Linked DNA regions of Arabidopsis thaliana. The protein of the gene in region 3 purifies or fractionates together with the protein of the main gene of each other region. This does not show direct contact. Each region holds a gene or a part of one and is shown on either strand. Other genes may lie near its edges.

What was found. The genes of interacting proteins can lie anywhere in the genome.
Region 1: the proteins of VDAC5 (region 3) and AT3G15110 fractionate together in Arabidopsis thaliana (co-fractionation; one large-scale study listed by BioGRID). This does not show direct contact.
Region 2: the proteins of VDAC5 (region 3) and 3BETAHSD/D2 fractionate together in Arabidopsis thaliana (co-fractionation; one large-scale study listed by BioGRID). This does not show direct contact.

The regions. Positions count from the first base shown.
Region 1 is NC_003074.8:5,082,823-5,088,756, forward strand, and holds AT3G15110 (uncharacterized protein), read right to left. Parts: upstream 3,038-5,934; 5' UTR 3,002-3,037; coding exon 2,654-3,001; intron 2,489-2,653; coding exon 2,267-2,488; intron 1,892-2,266; coding exon 1,866-1,891; intron 1,777-1,865; coding exon 1,572-1,776; 3' UTR 1,456-1,571; downstream 1-1,455. Other genes in the region: HCF243 (Serine/Threonine-kinase pakA-like protein), read left to right, coding at 1-1,228; AT3G15111 (uncharacterized protein), read left to right, coding at 3,038-3,154; AT3G15115 (serine/arginine repetitive matrix protein), read right to left, coding at 3,397-3,759, 3,874-4,530; AT3G15120 (P-loop containing nucleoside triphosphate hydrolases superfamily protein), read right to left, coding at 5,665-5,934.
Region 2 is NC_003071.7:11,175,543-11,184,733, reverse strand, and holds 3BETAHSD/D2 (3beta-hydroxysteroid-dehydrogenase/decarboxylase), read right to left. Parts: upstream 6,671-9,191; 5' UTR 6,498-6,670; coding exon 6,254-6,497; intron 6,178-6,253; coding exon 6,088-6,177; intron 5,997-6,087; coding exon 5,863-5,996; intron 5,729-5,862; coding exon 5,558-5,728; intron 4,736-5,557; coding exon 4,610-4,735; intron 4,125-4,609; coding exon 4,045-4,124; intron 3,543-4,044; coding exon 3,344-3,542; intron 3,256-3,343; coding exon 3,150-3,255; intron 2,877-3,149; coding exon 2,702-2,876; intron 2,489-2,701; coding exon 2,332-2,488; intron 2,182-2,331; coding exon 2,115-2,181; intron 2,008-2,114; coding exon 1,862-2,007; 3' UTR 1,456-1,861; downstream 1-1,455. Other genes in the region: AT2G26270 (BRCT domain DNA repair protein), read right to left, coding at 1-65, 362-521. UniProt on the Arabidopsis thaliana protein: 3beta-hydroxysteroid-dehydrogenase/decarboxylase involved in sterol synthesis. Catalyzes the formation of 3-oxosteroids from 3beta-hydroxysteroids-4alpha-carboxylate.
Region 3 is NC_003074.8:18,504,451-18,510,362, forward strand, and holds VDAC5 (voltage dependent anion channel 5), read right to left. Parts: upstream 3,250-5,912; coding exon 3,201-3,249; intron 3,032-3,200; coding exon 2,964-3,031; intron 2,364-2,963; coding exon 2,195-2,363; coding exon of another isoform or gene 2,166-2,194; exon of another isoform or gene 2,162-2,165; coding exon of another isoform or gene 2,076-2,161; intron 1,984-2,075; coding exon of another isoform or gene 1,914-1,983; exon of another isoform or gene 1,863-1,913; coding exon 1,775-1,862; exon of another isoform or gene 1,707-1,774; intron 1,693-1,706; coding exon 1,386-1,692; downstream 1-1,385. Other genes in the region: AT3G49910 (Translation protein SH3-like family protein), read left to right, coding at 1-301; AT3G49930 (C2H2 and C2HC zinc fingers superfamily protein), read left to right, coding at 5,796-5,912. UniProt on the Arabidopsis thaliana protein: Putative channel that allows diffusion of small hydrophilic molecules through membranes.

The DNA.
Region 1 (5,934 bases), about 13 Mb from region 3:
GATAGAGATGAAGACGGAGAAGAAAGAGAGAGGAGAAGAAGTTGGACGGATGAGTATTTGTTCTCCGCCGAAGAATGCTTTGTTGTTGATGCGGTGTAGATCTGATCCGGTTAAGGTTGCGGCGTTAGCTAACCGGGTTCGTGAAAGACAGTTGTCGTTAAACGACGGCGTATACACAGAGGAGGAAGAAGATGAGAGAAGAAGAAGGTTTGAGCTGGAAATTGAAGATAAGAAACGGATCGACTTGTGTGAGAAATGGATCTCTGGTGAGACTACTGTGGAAACAGAAGAAGTTTCAGTAGCAGTTGCAGAAGCAGAAGCAGAAGCAGAAGCAGAAGCTCCTTTGCCTTCAAATCCAGCTACAGAGGAAGAAGAAAGAGTCAAAGTTGTGGAAGATTCGATTGTTGAAGAAGAACAAGAAGCTTCGAAAATTCTGGATTCGTTTGAGGAAGAAATAGAAGCTACGATCATGAAAAAAATTGAAGACGAAATCAGAAACGCTATAGAAGAAGAGGAGAAACTTGCTGAGATGGAAGAATTAGCGGTTGTGGCGGTGGCTGAGACGGAGGAGGTAGAAGAAAGCAAAGAGGTTGTTCCTGATTGTATACCTCAAAATGAGGAAAGATCCGAACAAGGAAACCGGGAACCCGACCCGAGTCCGGAAGTGGTGATGAGAAGAAGTCTACAAGAGGAAACAACGGAGAAAGAGAAGACGACGGCGACGCCGTATAAGGTGTTACCGGATTGTTTGCTGCTTATGATGTGTGAACCAAAGCTCTCAATGGAAGTCTCTAAGGAGACTTGGGTTTGCAGTACAGATTTCGTCAGATGTTTACCAGGAAGACCTCCGGCGAAGAAGATACCACCAGAAGCCGTCGGAGACAATCATCATCATCATCAACCCAAGAAGCGAATCGTCACAGCCGTTGATTCCAACGCATCCTCTCGCCGGCGGTCAATCGATAGACCACCACTTCACCTACAGCCGCCACGGTCATCGTGTTCATACCCAGCAGCTCCACCGATAATAACGGCAGCTGCGGCGGTTGGGGAACAGAGGGTAGCCGGAGCTAATAAGGTACAGCCACCAGTGCTGCCACGTTGCAAATCGGAACCGAGGAAGTCAGCGTCGAAGCTAGCGCCGGAAGCTTGTTTCTGGAAAAATAGGAAGCTTGAGCCACACCCTCCGGCAACCGTCGGTGTCGGCGGCGCCGGAGTAGGGTTCTAGAAGAAGGAGACGTGAGTGGGAATAAAGGAAACTATTTGGGTGTAATAGTAATTTCAGAATACTATTTGTCCTTGTTTGTAAATTTGTTTTGTTAGTCATAATTCATTTTCTATCACTGTGCCAATGTTTTTTTCATGAAAATCTGTATCCGTTTTTTTTGTCCGTTAGTCTAATGTCTCACTCTCTGGTCGATGAAGTCCCATCGAAACTAACAACAACTAACGCTTCCCAACAAACAGATAGATAGTTACAATAAATTGAAAAGAAGAAAACAATTTTATGCATAGTTGGCTACATGAATATGATATTATTAATACATGTTTCATAGTAAAGACCGGACTAATCAATCACCTGAACTTTGATCCTCATTGCTTTTATTTACTTCACTGTTGTCACCTGATGATGAGTCTCCAGGTTGTGTTGTGGCCTTCATGTTTTCTTCAGCAGAATCTTCATTGAAGGCTAATTGACCAGAGTAAAGGAGAAGTCCGAACGCGTTGAGACCGAAAACAAATGTTGCTAGATAGCATATACCGTTGATGATAGTCCTGCGGATCAAAATGAAGAGTTTAGTCTTAAGAATTTGCGAGAATGGCTTGTGATGAGTACATAGAAAAGTGGTAAAGCTTAAATGTACCTTACGGTTACCGTGATTTGCCTAACCTGCAATAAATAGAAGTACATAAAATTCAGAAACTGTGGAATAGGCAGACTCTTCTTAAAAACAGCAATGATCAAGAGGGCTAGCAAAAGAAGGAATAAACTGGGAATCTTTAGACAGCTTCGTGTTTCGATAAGAATGGAACCTTTGCATAATGAACTTAAGCTAGTTGCACAATGAATTCAGAAATCATGGACAAGAATGGGTCCTCTCCATAATGAATATAGCTATTTCTCAATTATGGGCATTTACAGTTATTGAGACCATGATGATACTTGGAACACAAGGTACTGTTACTTTACCAAAGCAAGTTAGACAGAAACAGCAACTTTGACACAAGCAATGGATGATCAAAAAGAGAGAGAGAAGAAACGAACCGAGAAGTTATCAGAGATAGTCTGACGATTGAGTCCTGATTCAACTGTAACAGTGAATTTGTAAAGAATGAGAGCAATGACTCCTGCGGCTATCGCACCAAGAAACGCCTGAGCCGCCGATGGAGTTGAATTACCACCTTCTATCGGAGTTGAACTTAACGCTTTTAGATTATCCATTGCTTCTTCTTTCAACGATTTCTTAGCTCCAGTAGATCTAAATGTCTACAATTCCACACCAAATCACTCATATTCCTTCCCAAATTTCAAACACAATTCTCCCAAATTCAAGTGTAACAGATCAAAACCATTGGTTAAATTCGATTTAGACCAAATTCGGTGGTTATTTGTTCCTTAAGAATGTCTAGGGTCTAAGTAACGAGATATTACCAGCTCTTTGGCGCGTTTAGCGCGCCGTCGAACGGAGCGGATGAGGAAGACAGTGATGGCACCGGTAAGAAGCACACTGGTGGCCAATTGGAGAGGAGTAGGATCATCGGAAGTGGCGAAAATGGAGTTAGTAGACGAAAACGGAGACGTGGACGACGTAGGAAGCTCAATTGGACCATCTTCTTCCACCTCCGCCACATCGGCGATTTCTTTTACGGCGGATAATCGGATTATACCGGGACGGATCCTGGTAAAGGAAGAGAGCGAATGGATTGGAGAGATAAGACGCGTTGGACGGAGACGGTAAGGGAGAGAGAAGAGACATTGGTGGCTCTGCAACACTAACATTTTCTTAGCCGTCGAAAGATTTTTATCTCACCATTAATGTCTTCTTCAAATATCCTCACTCTAAAGCCTCTCTATCGTTTAGAGGGTCTCTTCTTCGTAGACACTCTCCGCGAATTAGAGGCTTCCCAAGTTACCATTATACTACAGAAATAGTAAGTACCACATTTTATATAGTTTCACTTGATTGTTTATCGCATTCTTCTTCATGTAAAATATTACTTGAGTTCGGTTTCTCCGTCGAATAAAAAAACTCATCATTATGATTGTTATTTTTCCTTATTATTGTAGGTGAAATGATAGATGAATGTTTTTGAACATAAAGGGAACCAAAGAATATGAAATGAGTGTTTGTTTATACGTAGAAGCAATTTGTTTGCTAATGAAAGTGAATGATATCAGCATTCTTGTCGAACATTACTTGCGACGGTTCGAGCCCAAAACTTTATCTGAGCTTTCATGTCTTTTCTCGAATCCTTTGGAACCCAAACCGGAATCGGCTGTCCCACCACCGCTGTAGACCGGTTTTTCCCAGTGGTGGTGCATGGGACCTTCCTCTGTTTTTCTTCGTCTTCTTCTTGCTTCTTCTCTGTTTCAATGTGAAAATCCTTCAACATTTGAATATCTTTCGTCTCGATGCTGCTTAACGTTTTACGCAGCGTTTTGCGGTTTGGGCTTTTTTGTGATTTGACGACCAATTCTTGAATAGCGTCTTCTGATCTTGAGTTTCTAGGTGGTCTATGCCTTGGAATGCATGAAACCTATACAAAGTTTTAAAAACTTTCTGGTCAAATTCAGAGTCTCAACAACAGCAATGATTCAATCAAATCATCCAAGAATTGAAAAGACTAATGTAAACAAAGAGAGATCATCACCTTTGGAATGTTCTGTTTCGTTGGAGTAAATCCAGAAGAAGAAGAAGAAGAAGAGTTAGCGATGGCTTCACGGATCAAAAATCCCATTCTTGAATCATCAATCTCTTGATCTTGAAACTCATTTACATCGTCTTCTCTTCCTAAGTAACTAGGCAAAGTCTGAGTTCTCTGCAAACTCCCTCCCATCGAGCAACTCTGGACACTATTATTGTTACTACAACTAATTCTTGTTCTGTTCTTCTTCCTCGAACCTTCTTTAATTCCCTTCTCTCGAACTACAGGTTCCTTCTTTTGCAAGTAAGTTCTTCGTTCTTGAACCCTAGTCTTCTCAGAGAACTGCCTTCTCATCACCTTATTTATCTTCTCAGGCTCGCCTCCGCCTTCTTTTTTCTCTATACACGGCGGCGGAACAAAGTCTCCCCCAGTAGAAGCTTCTAGAAGCTTAATCTCCGAATCCGAATCTCCAATTTTCGGTAATTCGGGTTTGGGACAAGTTGAAGAAGAAGAAGAAGTAAAAGGGTAAGGATCTGAATGACAGTACCTCAAGATCCTTGATCTTCTGTCAAGTAAGTTATCAAAGAACCAGAAATCTTCGAGGAGATCATCAATGGCTTCGAATTGTTCCAACTCTTGATGATCATTCGAAGTAGAATCCATTTTTTTTTTAATTCAGACAAAAGATAACATAAAGAGATAAGTTTGTGTTCTTGTTTCTTCTTCTTCTTCTTTTGTTCGGTTTTGTATTTGAAGCATAGATTCTGGGGACTTATTAGGAGGTGCCCATGTGGGCAACCATTCAGCACTTATTTTCTAAAAATATTGTTTTTATTGTTTTATGTGGAGTCAATGTTTTTGTACATAAATAAAAGATGAAATTTTTTGAGTGAAAACAAAAAATGGAAATAAATTGACTTATTCCGAATTTGAAAGATTCTTTCTTTTACAATTGTTCTGAATTTTGGAGTCAATAATATTTTAACTTCTAGGGAAAAATATTGGCGCCACAAGTTTTTTAATTTCAGTAATCTTTTTGTATATTTAGGAGATTGCAGAGACGTATTAGCTGAATAGGTTTTGGAAAAGAAAAACCAATAATTAAGTGTTCTAAGTGGATAATTAAAATAAAATTAGATAACAAATCAAAAGGATTTCTGGCAACAACTAAGAAAAATAAGGTTTTTCAACAAAAGTTATGATTGCTAAGAAACGGCATAATAAGCCCTGTCATGACAGTCAACATGCCATGTGATTCTTAAACTTAATATGTAAACAATTCGGTTCTATATCATATAAAATAATACATACAGTTTTTGTTATATATTAATATTATTTCTTATCCATCGCCTCCTACGCGACAGCTAAGAATTATAGTAATCTAATAAATACAAAAGATATTGGTAATATTAAAATACATGTGAATGTAAAAGCATTAAATCTCGAGCTCTGAACCTACATTGTTCTCCAATTATAGTATGACATTGCATATAACATTAATTATGTTCATCAGCCGTAAATCTTTATTAGGTGACATGTGGGATGTGGCTAATCAGTCAATTTAGCTGCGTACCTGATGATTTGTTGACGATGCTGAGAAACGAATGCTAATCACATCACAAATAATCTCACGAGAAAGATATTAGTACGCACTACGCAGCTTGAAGAAACAGGAGTTTGAGCCAAGAAACTGCTGATTTTTTCATATCTGAATTAAAATATTTTACTAGTCTTGTAACTGCAAATCAATGGCAGAGACACCAGCTGATTTGAGTAAAAAGTTTACAGATGAATCAATCAAAAAGGCTTCATCTCAGTTGCAATTAACTCTATGAGAGAACCAAGGCAGAAACTATCATATTTACAATGCAAAGAGCGGTCATCTTCAGTACTCACCGGAACCAATATTCCATCTTTGAAAACGAATACTGGTTCAAGCCAAGTCTTAGGTCTTCGATATGTATTTCCCTCATCTAAGCTCCCTTGCATTTCAGCAGAATGACTGCAACATTCGACAGAGGCAAGAAAATTACCGGATAAGCGTTTGCAAAAACATGCTTCGTTTTC
Region 2 (9,191 bases), on a different chromosome or scaffold from region 3:
GTGAAGATGAGGAGTGTACTCGCCTCCGAGTCTCTCTGTCGCTTCCTTGACTTGTTTTCTTGCATCTGCAAAGAAACAAAGCAATTTAACATATCACAACACAAAACCAATGTTATGAATACAACAAGATCACATTCACAACAGCATCTGAAATCTAAAGATTGATTAACATAAATATCCTACTTCTGAGTTCTGACTAATGGAGATTGAAGAGGAACAAATTCTTTAAATTTACAAACATAAAACCAAAGTTATAACAACAGAATCTGAAAGTCTAGAAGAATAAAACTTTAATATTGATGGAACATAAAAATTCAAACTTTCTGCCTAATAGAGATTGAAAAAGGAACAAAGTCTTTACCTTTGGATAAACCAGTGACACAAATGACAAGAGAAGAGAATGGACCATTGGACTGAGACATTGAAGTAGTAGTAAGAGGAGGAGATTGTAAAACAGGAAACAACTTAGAACAACCCTTTGAATCAATCAAACCAACATTTCTTCTTCTGAGAGCACCCATTGTGATAGTTGATGATAGACAACAAACCAAGCTCCAATCTCTGCTTTTTTATAAATCCTTAATTCAAAATACGGAATCATTGCAGAAAGACTAAAAAAGAATCAAAATCAAAAGGAAATCACTTTCTCAGAGGAAAAAGAAATCGGGGAATGTAAGAAGAAGCATGAAAAGGATTCAAAGGAGAAAAAGATTTTAGGGTTGAGTGATTGTGGACAAAATGGTGCTTTAAGTGATGAATCCTCGGAAAAAGATGGTTACTTTGGTTGTCGGAGCTTTTTCGTGGGGCTAATTTTGGCTTTATCGGCGTGATTCCAAATTTGGGGAATGAGAGACAACTACTCTTTCTATTCAAAACTCTCACACAACGCTTCTTTGCAAGTGACTAGTGAGACTGAGAGATAACTCTTGTGATTCAAAAATAGTTGGGCTTGACCCGACCCGACCCGACTTCTTTTTATTAATTACTTACACCAAAACTCTTGTAATTATAACAAGTCTTGTAATTTTGGCTTTTTAATAAAAGTGGAGTGATAATACAAATTTTAATTTGTAAGCTTCTGTTTTTAGATGGATGGGATCCAGTTAAACATTTCTATTTATTTTTATAATTTTTTGTATTATTATTTATTTTCAGATAATCTTTATTTTTTAACAACTTTAAATTAAACTCAAAAGAACTACTTCGGAGATATGTTGTTTACATATGTAATATAACGTGGTTCTGTAAGAATTTCATATGCTAAATTATTCGCTTTAACATGTGTACAACAAAATATTAACAATAAAATTGAAGCTTAAAATTTTTTCTTTATTCGTTATGAAATTCGTCTCTATGATTTTAATGATATTGGAATATAGTTAACTCAATTTACATTAATTACATTTTGGATATTTGGAAAGGAAAATTCGAGAAATAGACTTACAACAAGTAGATAAAAAGGCTGCCACTTCATAAAGTTGGTCTTTACTAATATTTTGTCATTAAATTCAATATTAGAGTTGTTTTGTGGTTTGATAATCTATCAATTGATTCTATATTCAAAGGCACGGGACTAAGGACATGTGCTTTAGGAATCAACCTTGCGAATCTTTCTTCTCTCCTTTCTTTTTTTCACAAATTCATTCGATTTTTCAATGCTTACTTTCATGTTAGAGGACAAAAGTTGTGGCTTAATAGGGCATCTCTCAACATCCATTTTTCTCCAAGCATGTAAACAAAGACCAATAGAAATGAGTAAAAAAGAGATTCACAAATAATAAAACTTGAAAAAAGCTCAAACCAGAGTTAGAGGTCGTTGGAAACAAAAGAAAATTACAAATGCTGGGCAAAAAAAGGGTTTTTAGTCATGTTTCTTGCTTCCGAACAATTTCTCATACACATCGGATTTGTGCTTGCATGCGAAAGATTTAAAACTCACCACTATTGAGTCGATCTCTTGCTCTTTCTTTTCGTACACGAGAAAAGCAAGGAAGGCAATGGGCAGTCCTGTTGAACAAAAACAGAACAACAAAACCAGTTATTGTTGAAGAACTATAATTCATACAACCGTAGCGTTGGCATGTAGTAAAACTAGATAGAGAGTGAGTGTGTACCTATAACAAATATGCTGTGAAGAGATATGGCTCCAGCCAAACTCAATGCTAACAAAACGAAGACCACCTATGACATTAAAAACACCAAAGCGGTGTTACAATATTATTACCAAAGAGAACTTCAGCAATCGAATTTTGTCCCTATTTCTGTTTCAGGTTGGGATAAGATATCGTACGACTGGAACTTGCCAGCAATAACTAGTTCAAGGAAAAATACCTTGAAAAAGAAGCTCCAATCATTCCCCTGGCAAAGAGATCTTAAAGCTTTTACAGTGGTGTTCCATGAAGAGATCACTGACAATGAGAGGTCATGTGATGAGTCTTTTGAGAGGTGAAATTGCGATGCAGGAATCTTTTCAACTGTATAACCAAATCTGCAAAATAAGCATCTATATTCAGTTGTTCGTAAACTGAAATAGACAGCAATTGCTTATATTACTTGTTCCTGATTGAAGAGTACGATACACAGTGTTTCAAAAATGTTTGGCATATACCTTCTGGTTTCCATTATTAGAGAACTAGGTTAAGGTAGTTCATATTGCACATAAATGAAAATCTATCAAAAGTTGGCATCTCAGGAATCTTACATTTTCTCTGGTAGAATGCCATGGAGGAACAAAAATACAGATGCTACCAATAGAGCCTTCGAAAGAGCAGTTACGACGGTAGACCCAGTTGCAACAAAGTTATAATAGATACTAATTAGAATGAATATGGCAATAAGAGTCTGCTTTAAATCCTTCCAGAGAAGTGTATCAGCAACTGCAAAATCATGTCAGAACAAGTGAATCAAGACCAGGGTAGATTTGAAAATATGTCTAGTTCTACTAACATCCTATGCCTCTTCACATTAATATGGTAGCTAGCCACTGAACACAATCATTCTCAGGAGAGCGTGCAGATGTTGACGCTGACTCAAGATTTTAATAAAAAGAAAAATATCCAGTGAATTTTAAAAATAAACATTGGGTGCTTATCATGTGAGAGACGATCAGCTGAGAGGACAAGCATGCTAATTGAAATATATGGTCATACCCTTTCCGCCTCCAAGAATCCTAGAAGCCTTGGATGGGCCCTCTCTTTTGGATTGACTTCCAGCTGTTAGGTGAGAGAATGAGTCTATCGTCCTCCGTATACCTTCCTGCAGGATCATCAAGGCATGCATGCAATATATAAAGAACAATAAAGGCTTCAAATATCTCTCTCTTTCAAATCAAATATTGTATAACCTGAAGTGGGACCACAGGAGCATAGCCTAGTCGATCCTTTGCTTTCGTGGAATCGAAAGTTCTGCTGCATGAGAGAAGCCTAACTCTTGAAGGTGTTAGTTGTGGTACTGTCATCCCATATGGTCCCAACACTTTATATGTCAGTTCAACCAGATGCGCAATCGGCATCATGATAAACGCAGGGATCTTTATGCTTGGCCTGCAAAATATATTAAAATTAAGAAGAACAGTCAAAGGTATGGGTTAAGTACAATGCATTCCTTCTTAGATAAGTGAAGCCGTCAAAACCAATTTGACAAGGTCAGAAACCTATATCCCAAAGAAAATGGATTACATGAAATCAGAAAACTTGTCAGGCACAAAAATGTAATCAGAAAGTATTGTATATGCCCAATTACTATGAAGTATGCACAATAAAATTGCAAGCAGAAATGTAACCTTATAAAAATGTAAGCAGAACAAAAATACAAAACTGTAAGCAGAAATCATTGTATATACTATATACCCAATTATTTTGAAGGAAACTTAATTATATGCTACTTCCGGATAGAACGTCAAGTCAAGCTCAACTCAATTCCCATGCAAGAACATAAATAAAATGAAACTAAGACGTGTCTTTCCCCTTTTTGTGTATGCAAGATCTTACAAGTATACATGACACTAGTTGCAAACCCAAACAAAAAAAGGGAAAAACATAATACCTCTCGTAACCAAGTCCATCAAGGAGCTGTGACATAAATTCCCAAAATTTAATTGGCTCCATGTTGGTAATGAAATATGCCTGTAAATCCACTAAATGTCAGGTTAGCCTACAACTAGGATTTTCCTACAACATCATAAATAAACTACCATCTCACTGGACGCCTTAACTAAATTTTATTCAAGGGATTTAACTTTATTCAAATACGGCAGTAAACAATGTTATCATCAATAGATAATTTGGCAAACATCTCAAACGGATCTATCTCAGCTAAACACAACAGACAAGAAAAATAATCTCGAACGAAAAAACCAGCAAGCTCTTTGAAGTTCACATAATGTTTGAGTAGACACAGTTTTTATCTCAGTTTTCATGGTATGCCTGAAACGTTTATGCTTTAGGTATGCATTAACAGCTGTACACAAAAATACTGGTTGACCATGACAGCATTTCATTCCAAACATTTACAGCTAGAAAACTATGGAGACCACAAATATAATGATGTGAAACTGAGACCAAACTCCACCTTAGAAAACTACGGCATGGAATCAACTGAAAGCAAATACCTGTCCTGCAGCTTTTGTAGAAACATCTCCTCCTGAAGCTAGAGCACGCTCAGCACAAACATGGGCATGAGCAACATTCTCAACGTAAGTGAAATCATAGAGATTATTCCCATCACCAATAATAAACTGGACAGTAAAGAAGCAGAAAACAGTCGTATCAAAAATAAAAATAATGAAAGATTTTATGTCAAAGAAGAAATCCAAGCAAACAATGCATCTTAACCTATTAAATTCATTTTGGAGAGATCCATGATCATCTAAAGCACCTCTTAACTAGCAGCAAGATAAAAGACTAAATACATTCCTACTAGCAAAGCCATAAATCTTAATTAGGAAGGAATATCGCACCGCGCAACCAGGAACCCTCCCTCAAATCATTTTTCAAGTACTCATATGAATGTTGCTTTCCACATCATTCTTTGTATCTCGTGTTAGGCTACTTTTAAGGCCATTTCATCGATGCCACCAAGCTTAGGTTTCCAAAGAAAATCATACATCCTAATGGTGTCCAGACATATAGAAAGTTCAGTCCTCTACATTTGTAGCTTAAAGCTTCAAATTTAGAAACTTTGCGAAGTCAATACCCCAAATTTTGCGTAAAACAAACATAAATTATTCTCTCTCCGCTCTACTGTCACCAAACGATTTCACAGTTATGGCTTTAATGGTAAAAAAAAATTCTCCATTCCCTGTGAATCAATCTGTGTGTTTCCAAAGAGTTAATCATAACTTCTGAGAAAAACTTCATAGTACAGAACTATCTACCAAATGCACAGCATGGTCATGACTTTCAAACACGTTTAGATAATAATGTCAATAAAGGGCAGCTACCTTCGTGAGAGTAACAAAAGTATCAAGAGAAGAGAGAAGAGGAAAGGTAAAAAAGGTAAAAAGGAAGGCAGACAGCACATAGAGGAGCAAAACGGTAAACAAAGAAAACAATCCAACCTTAGATTTCCCAGCCCTAGCAGCAGCAACAAGCGACGGAACCAATAATCTATCACCGGGACCAAAAATACTGCTTGGACGTATGCAACAAGTGAGTAGTCCATTTCTACCATTAGCCTTCATGATCAACTCTTCTCCTTCAGCTTTAGTTGCTGAATATGAGTCATTGTGCTGAATAGAATGAAGAAAATATTAGTAACCAAACTCCAAAACAAGCAAAGAATCATCTCAAAGCCATAGTTCTGTACAACAATAGAAAGACAAAACATCAAATTCAAAGTTCACACCAAAAGCGTAATTAATACCTTAATTGGGTAAGCCATTGATTCAGTACCGTTCAAAATACCATGAACACCATCAAACACAACACTAGGAGAGCTAGTGTAAATAAGCCTCTTTACTCCAACATCAACACAAGCATCAATCACATTTTGTGTCCCTGTACATTAAAAATCCCATAAACACAAGAACTAACTGAATTCATCAGTTTGACAGAAACGAAATGTGCAAAAATTGAAGTTTCTATTAACCTTGAACATTCACCGAATACTGAAGCTGATGATTGTTAATAGAAGAATCTGGAGCTGCCATATGAAACACCACCTCCGCTCCCTGAAAAGCTAATGGGAACAAGTAATTACAAAGATGCATAGATCTCAAAGTCCACTAAGAATCAATGACTTTGTGATTAAGAACCTTTAACGACTTGAGATTTATCTCGAAGATCAGCGGAGATATATTGAACACGACCAGATCTTAATCCTTCGTCGAGAACTCCGTTCCCTTCCTGAGGATCAAGCATTATCGCCGGAGCTAAATCGGCGATACGGACGCAAAACATTTCGTAGCGTACGAGCATTTCAACAAGATGCCTCGCCGCGAATCCTCTACCGCCGGTAACAACGCACCATCGCTCCGTCTCCGTAGCTGCCGGCGACATGTCTTTTGAATCGAGTAAGCAAAAATGGCGAAATCAGAGAAGCATTTACCTTTGAGAGAAAGAGAGAGCTTGAAAAATCTTTTCAGGAGAAAGAAAACACTGCTTTGGTGTGTAATGTGTGCCTCCCACAACCTTTCTGTTCCAATCTATTTTTATTGTTGGGAAAACAAAACATATTGGGCTTTCGAATTTTTATAAGATTCTGTTTAAGTTTAAACCCATATGATTTGGGATTTTTAATGTGATTTAATCTCAAGGTTTATGTAAATGAAAACTGTTTTAAGATTGGTTTTGGAGGGGTTTGTAACAAAAAGAAATGAAAATTGTTCAAAGTTTTTGTGAAAGTGTGTTTTTGGTCATAATGAAAATGGTTAAGTTGTAACAAGAAGTCGAATAGTAAAAATATTTTTTTTTGTTATAAGTAAAATCTCATTACAATAGTAATATAAAATAAATTAAAAGATTAAAAAAAATAAAAAATATATAAAGTTGCATAAATAATCGCAAATATAGTTTTATGACCATTGTTTCTTCTTCACTCTTCATGATACTCTTTTATCTTTTTATTCTTTAATTTCTTATAGTTTTAACAATTGTTCTTCTCTCTTCAGGTGCCTCCATCCTTCTCCATCTCCAATCCCATCTAATTTCATCAAATCCCTTCCATTTATAACCATGAATGCAAAAAAAATTAGAATAAAAAGCTAGATTATAAGGTAATCTTCGTTTCTAGACGAAGTCACAAAACTTGACGAGATTTGTGTGTCGAAGCATGAACCTCTCTTTCAGAGTTCTTCAATTTCATCATCTTATAACTATCCATCACGTTTTTGTTTTTGTTATGATTGGTAACAAGCGGTTAAATAATAAGAAAATTGTTATGAAAATACTATAACTAAAGTTCTACTTTTTTTGCTAAATAACTAAATCCTATTTAATATTGTCGCTTATGAGAGGTTTTCTTTTGTATCCTTTGTTAATGAAAGAAAGTTCCACATCAAAAATTGGAGGAATTATCAAGTGATATATAGAAGGTTCGGACCACTCCACCTATTGTCAATTGGTTTTAGGTTGGAAGCCCATGTTAAACCCAGTTCTATCATCCTCATCCATTGAATTTTTGTGAATTTATATTTGATATAATAATAAGAAGGGCCACAATTATTTCATATTTTAGCCATCTTTATCTTAGGGTTGACTGTGGTTATGGTATGTAAGTCAACGGGAGTTTAGAACCATGACTCGTTGGATAAGATTGGATAGTTTTTTTATATTTCACTTCTTAAACCGTTTCTTTTTGGTTGTATATATAAGAAAACTACTAGTATTAACTATTAAGTCTGAAATTGTCTTAGAAGATTGGTTCGATAATCTTCTCTTATATCTACAACCTCACGTGATCATTTTCTGTTGCACTATATATAGACTATAGAGTATAGACCCTTCTTCTTGAAACAAAGCTCTTTTTTTTTGTTCAAGTTTCTTTCCTGATATAAGCGCAATGACAGAGTTCTTGAAACAAAGCTTTTTTGTGACAACCAAAAACTAAATCCTTTAATTATTTTTCTTTGCTAAATGAGTATGTATCATATAAGATGAAGATGGTTCGGATTTCCATGTTCATTACCTATGCTTTTGGTTTCTTGGCAAAACCTATAAAAGAAAAAAAGGCAAAGAAGTAAAAACAATATTTAGTCAATCAAATGAAAAATCTTCAGTCATTTATGAACAAATTCAAGCATGCACGTACGTGTTTGGATCTTATTTTGGTAAAGTTTATTCACTGCTTCATTTGTTTTGGACTTCTATTTTTTATTTTTTTATGGCCTACAAAATTCATGGTCCAAAAGGACCTAACCGATCTGAAATTGTTTTTTTTTATTTAAAAACAATACAAAAAAGAGAGAGGGAAATAATAATAATGTGCAATAATGGTATAAGGGGTTGCTTCAACTACTTCCCGTAAAATGCATCAGCCATTTGACTCATTAAAGAAGACAGCCATAAGTTAGATATCATCATAAACATTTCAACATCCATACCTCTCTTGTCAACATTACTAATTTCCCATACGTCTTAGCAACTTCTTTTAACAGCAACTTTTTTTCCTTTTCAAGTTTAACCTAACAATGTTTTGATCACATATCAATACTACATATTTAGAATATATATATGATGTCGTGTTTCGTTTGTGGATTTTGTTTTCTCATGATTTTTAAAATCCCATGTTTACACGATCATAACGTTTCGTCAATTTTAAAACGATAACTCTATAAGTAATAGCGTGTACCTTCATCGTATTTCTTTCGACGTCGTAATTATGATCACCATTCACCATTTTCCTTCTTTTTTCTTTTTAGGGTATATAACGCAACTATATAAAGCACACGTACTTAAAGAAACCCATTTGGGCATGTGTTGTCCTTGCTGTGGATCACATGCATAAGTCTGCTTTTTCTTTTTAATATGAATTGTTTTTGACTTCATATATAGGACCAATTCAAACATTTATATTTAAAGAATATTTTACTCAGTATTATTACTTTCTTTTGTAATGATTTACAATTTTGTGCCACTCGTATGTATAGCGTTTTAAAGAGGTTACTTACCAGTAGTTTTTGTCCAAATTTTATATGTGAAATAACCCTTCTCGGAAGGCTACCACATTTCCATTAAATTATTGGAAAACTTTTA
Region 3 (5,912 bases):
GCCGATCCGTAAAGACGACGAGGTTCAGATCGTTCGTGGTACTTACAAGGGACGTGAAGGCAAAGTTGTTCAGGTTTACCGTCGCAAATGGGTGATTCACATCGAGAGAATCACGAGGGAGAAGGTGAATGGAACAACCGTGAACGTTGGGATTCAGCCGTCGAAAGTTGTGATAACGAAGCTTCGTCTTGATAAAGATAGGAAATCGCTTTTGGAGAGGAAGGCTAAGGGACGTGCTGCTGCTGATAAGGAGAAGGGTACTAAGTTTACGTCTGAGGATGTTATGCAGAACGTTGATTAAGTAAGAAGGAAGAAGAAATCTTCTTGAAAGGTTTTATCTTTTAGAGTTATCTTCAATCGCTTTTTAATTTTCAAGTTTTGGATATTTTGGAATGTTGTCAGTGGATCTTTATGGTGCTAGACATGAGAACTTATGTTTTGATTTTGAGTATTTGAAGTTTGGTTATGGAAGTTTATCTCTTTGTCTCATTCTTTATAATGATGTGTTTGTTTGGTTTAGCTTTTGATTATGTGTTGGATGTGTGTTGAGATTGGTGTTGAACTCCTGATTTGACATAGGAGTCTTGCGTTTATCAGTCTATTGCAGTAGAATTGATGATATTGGTCATTTATGTGGTGACTTAGTTGAAATGATTCTCTAGAGTAGTGTTCTTGGTTTAGGTTATTTCGTTTGATAGTGGGGGTTCCATTTTTCGACAGTGGTTTTCATTTTTGAACATATTGGAATGACGAGTTTGTGTCTTTAAACGACATATCAATTTATCAGACCAATCCTTTCGTCTCTTCACACTTATCTCTGCAATTTTGTGTTGTCTAAGACGTTTGTGGTATAGGTTGAGTTCGAACTTGGTGGTTTTCAATTGTAATTTTTTGTTTGGCATAAGCATTACTGTGGATTTAAAAGAATTGCCACTCTGATTAACAGCAAATCATTTCATTTCTATGAAACTGATTCTTTCTCATTACCTTAAAAAATAGTCGTTTCCTCGAGAAAAAAGATAGAACTAAAAAAACATATCTCAAATGCAATTATCCGACTGAACAGTTTTCACATTTGATGTACATGTGTAGAAGACCTATCTCTGATTCTTTTCCAACTTGAGTCTTTGATTGATTCTAGTTTCACATAAGGTTTGTTTCTCTTAACAAAACAATAAAAAAAAACTCTCAGAAAAGAGCGATATAACTGTTCCTATTAAGCGTGAGCCCCAAAAGAAACAAATCCGAAAAAGAATTATCAGAAATAAGGAGATTAGCCGAGGGATTCATTATTCAATAACCAACTCAACTCTAAACAATGTCATAGGAGACAGAAAGGGTAGTCTCCATTGTTAAACCTAACTTCCATTGGTATGTGTAGCTCTTCAAGGTTTAAGGGAAAGCGAGAGACCTAACCTTGGGTACTTGTCTAATGTCTTGGTATCAATCTCACCTGAGATTGTCACTATCGATTTTGGAAGGCCCTCGTGTTGCAGAAGAGCTCCAAACTTACCGTTACTGTTCAGCTTAGCTTTCACATTCGTTAAGTGATCAACCGCATACAATCCACCAACAGTTACTGTTGTCTCATTAGTTGAGATTTTCCTGATAACCTCTCCAACTGTTGCGCTTCTCGTCGACTCATCTAGGTAATATACATAAGAGGCTTTGATCGAATCTCCTTTATCTCCCCTGAGATTTTCCAAGAAAAGATTCAGAATATATTAAGAACAGCTCGATAGAACTTTGATTAGTAGGAGCTTCTTTATCTTACAATATTATGGAGACACATTGATCTGGCTTTGTGACACTGACTCCGACGTTGTACTTTGTGAAAGTTCGAGATGTGGTGTCATACCCAGCTTCAGCACCAAATGAGATAGTTGGTGAGCCAAGAGCAGCAGTTACATCAATTAGAGGGTTTTATTGTAAGGCTGCAGCGGCTGTAACTGTTGCGTGATCATGGAAATATTGGACTTCCAGCTGTAAATCATAGTTGAGTTTAAATTCATTTGGCTGAAAAAGTCATTATATGTGTATATATAACTAGCTTAAAGAATTCTGAAATGCATAACCTTGCTAGAGTTGTAATCAGGCACTTTGAAGGAAGCAATGGCTTTTGTCGATGGGAGGATCTCAGTGATGTGATGGTTGTCAGGATCTGATCAAGTGAAAAAAAAAAAGAGGCACAAACTTAGCGTATTGTGATCAATTGAGACAAATTTATTCATTGGATAAACAAGAGACTTAACATTGAAATCAGTATCGATCTTGACATCGAAGAAAGTGTTTCTGTACTTGTATTGTGTGGCAACATTAGCAGCATGTAGTACTCCATTCTTGAGAGCAGTGGAAGTAAGAGCCTACGATAAAATAACAGAACACATAGCGTCAATGGATGCAGAAATTTTAAGCGTTGCCAGGCAAAATAAACAAAGCAACCTATAAGTAGCTCATATTCTCAAGTATCCTTGTGGTTTAAAGCGACAAATGTATATTACCATGATACATGTTATTAGCTAGCAATATCATCTACATTGTTCATCAGCCTGTTATGCTAACTCCAATACAGAGATAATCTTAACAAAGAACACAAGTACATGCCGATTACCCAAGTCACAGAAGATATTGCACAATGCTTAGGCAGTAGAATCCATCAAGAGGAGGTTTTTGCCTCCAAAATCACAGGTATATCAAAATTGACTTTAACTTCACTCAAATGCGTTGTCAATTTCCAATGATTCACTCCCCAGCTAGAGTATAGATCAAATCTATAACCAGCAAGAAGATACTACTCTTGAGGAAATACATGATAGAAGAAGAAGAAGAACCTAAAATAGTACTTGTTAAGCAAAACATTTGCTACAAATTCATCAATGTGAAACAAAATCTACTAGACTGCGAAGAACACATCATATGATTCACAGATTATAAAAAAGCTAGAAACGAGATTAGATACTTACGACGCCGGAGACACTGTTAGTGGAGATACTGAATTTCTGATCGGTACTGTAATCTCTCGTCAACAGATCTAACACAAAAAGGGAAAAACACAAAATTGAGCTTACGAAAACACCAGGATTCATCAATCACACTCTCTCTCGACCTCCAATGATCACATTAATACAACTACATCGAGAAAACTCGAAAGTTGACATCAAAACTAATGGAGATGAAGAAGGAAGGGAAGATTATCATACCTTTCGCATATTTTCCGATGTCGGCGAATAGTCCCGGACCCTTACTCATGGTGATCGGAGAATTTGAGAGAGAGGAAACCAAATAGAGATAGTGACGGCAGTAAAATTGTCCAAGTCAATAATAGTTAAAATCAATGATTAACGGACGTGTAACAACAAAAGGTTTCGTGGTGTAGTTGGTTATCACGTCAGTCTAACACACTGAAGGTCTCCGGTTCGAACCCGGGCGAAGCCATTTCTTCTTTTAATTTTTTTTTTTTACTTTGTAAAAGAACATTACGCTTGGAATGTCAGGAGTCCATTAAGCTTACATTATTTAAATCGATAAGTCTTTAACAACAAACGTGGTTATTTCACTTTGTACTAATTATTCTTGATTATGCGTTATTTCCATTTTCTTTGTGTCTTATGGTTAGTTTTAATGTGGATTTGGAAGTTCTCGATGCAGATTATGAAGCCGTGAAATATTATTTGATGAGATGATTGAATTGTGCCCCCAACAAAAAGATGAGATGATTGAATAAATACTGAAGCATGATTGATGGAATAGTTTGTGTATTCATTAATGATATAAACTATGTTTTTCGAATCTACATAACAACTCGATACTTTGCTCACATGTACGTTGCTCTTTTGAATTTAGGATTTTATATGTTTGGGAATATATTTTCAATATTTTATAAAAGATTGCTAGGCATATGTCAACGTATTTTATGATGCAAGACAAATAAAACTTCAAAGATGAATAACATTGCTCGTTATTATGCTCTATGCTATTATTATTAAAGCAAGCTACAAAGCCCAATAGTACCATTACTAGTCTAAACTCTGAAAGCCTATGTAAGTAGGGTTTTGCAATCAAGATTATGTTTTCATATAAGGATGTGTAATGACTCTTAAGATATATAACCAAGAGAGTTGTTAAAGAGGCAGCTCTCCTTCTTCCCTATTTTATGATTGAATCAAAGTATTACTAATCTTGGTGACAATCTAAAGTCCTTTTTTTTTTTACTTTCTTTGCACAATAAAGCTCTTCATGAGCTATGCAAGTTGTTAGTTTATTTCTATCTTAATAAGCTCATTTGACTTTGAGTTTTAATTTTGTTGTGCAAAGAAAACTTAACTAACTTCTTGTATATAGGACCTAAATTCCTCCATTATTCATATATCATCTCTTAATCTCCTCAGATTTTGTTTTTCTTATAAAAATCTATAATAAATCATGATCTGTATATAAAAACTTGAAGGAAATAAATAAGCAAGTAATGTCAAGTATATAAGACGAAGTTTTTTTAAGCAACTAAACTATGAGATCCTAAACTTGATGGTTGTAAACTAAAATACAAAAGAAAATAAATAAAATTAGTTGCTTATGAAGTGGGTGGTGTCACTCACAACCATGTCGCCTGAGCCTTAAGAAAGTGTCTCGTACCGTCTTTTTTAAGTCTCCACCAAATCGTACCATTTCCACCATACATAACTAACCACGTGTCCCCAACGAAAGAATCTAACCTGCTTCCAACCAATGAAAAATTGACAACTCAGTTATGACCCAACGCCATGAAAAGATTCGCTAACCTGGCCTAACCTTTAAACTAACTCCGAAGATATGGCAACTCAAATCTTCATCAACACCTGTCGCATTTTATGCCTTGTTGTTTTTTTAGTTTCTTGCTTTTAATAGTAAACTAAATTATCCTCTCAATATAATAATAATACATTAATACTATAGACTACACTACAAATGTAAAAGTTCCTTTTACTTTTACAATCATTATTATAACCAAAAAAAAAAGGTCTAATGTAAAATTATGTGTGGATATATGTTTATTTTTGAATAAAGTGTATTGAAATTGACAATTCGGATAATAAATTGTTGCCAATAGAAAAAAAGAGGAAGAAGAAGATATTGAATAAGCTGATCAGCTCATGATTTGGACTGCTACCTATCGACAAAATTAGCACAACTTTGATAAGTACTTTAGTTTTCCATCTTTGTGAATGTGTTACTTTTTTCGGCTTTCCAATAAAGTTTGATGTTAGACTCTAATACATTTATAGTTACATGACTTCCCCCACAACACATAATTTTTAAAATAGGCATTCTTAGATTACGCATTATTGGACAAGGTGCCACTGAAAAGATAGTTTTTCTTTGATTTACTTTATTTTTTTATAATATTTTCACAAATTTATCATTATTGATCATTCAAAATTCATCTCTATTTCATTGATTCTACATCGACTGCATCAAACTCTAATATTCTTTTTTCGTTCATTTTTGATATATTGGAAATTTGGAAAGAATTTAGTTCAATTATATAAATAAATTTATGTTAAAGAAAAATATATAAAAGATGAAAATAGGATGAGATATTAATGGATATGGAGAAATAAGAGAAGAAGCACCACTTGATCACTTAGAGCCCACGTTCCCACTCTTAATCACCCAAAAAAAATTAAAACAAAGACGTGCTCACATCTCATCTCACTCCCTCACCAGCTCACTTCACTCTCTCTTTCTCTTTTTTTTTCTTTTTTTTATAATCATCTCTCTCAATTCTCAATCATCTTCTAATCAAAGATCACCACCATATGGCTCTCGACACTCTCAATTCTCCCACCTCCACCACCACAACCACCGCTCCTCCTCCTTTCCTCCGTTGCCTCGACGAAACCGAGCCCGAAAACCTCGAATCATGGACCAAAAGA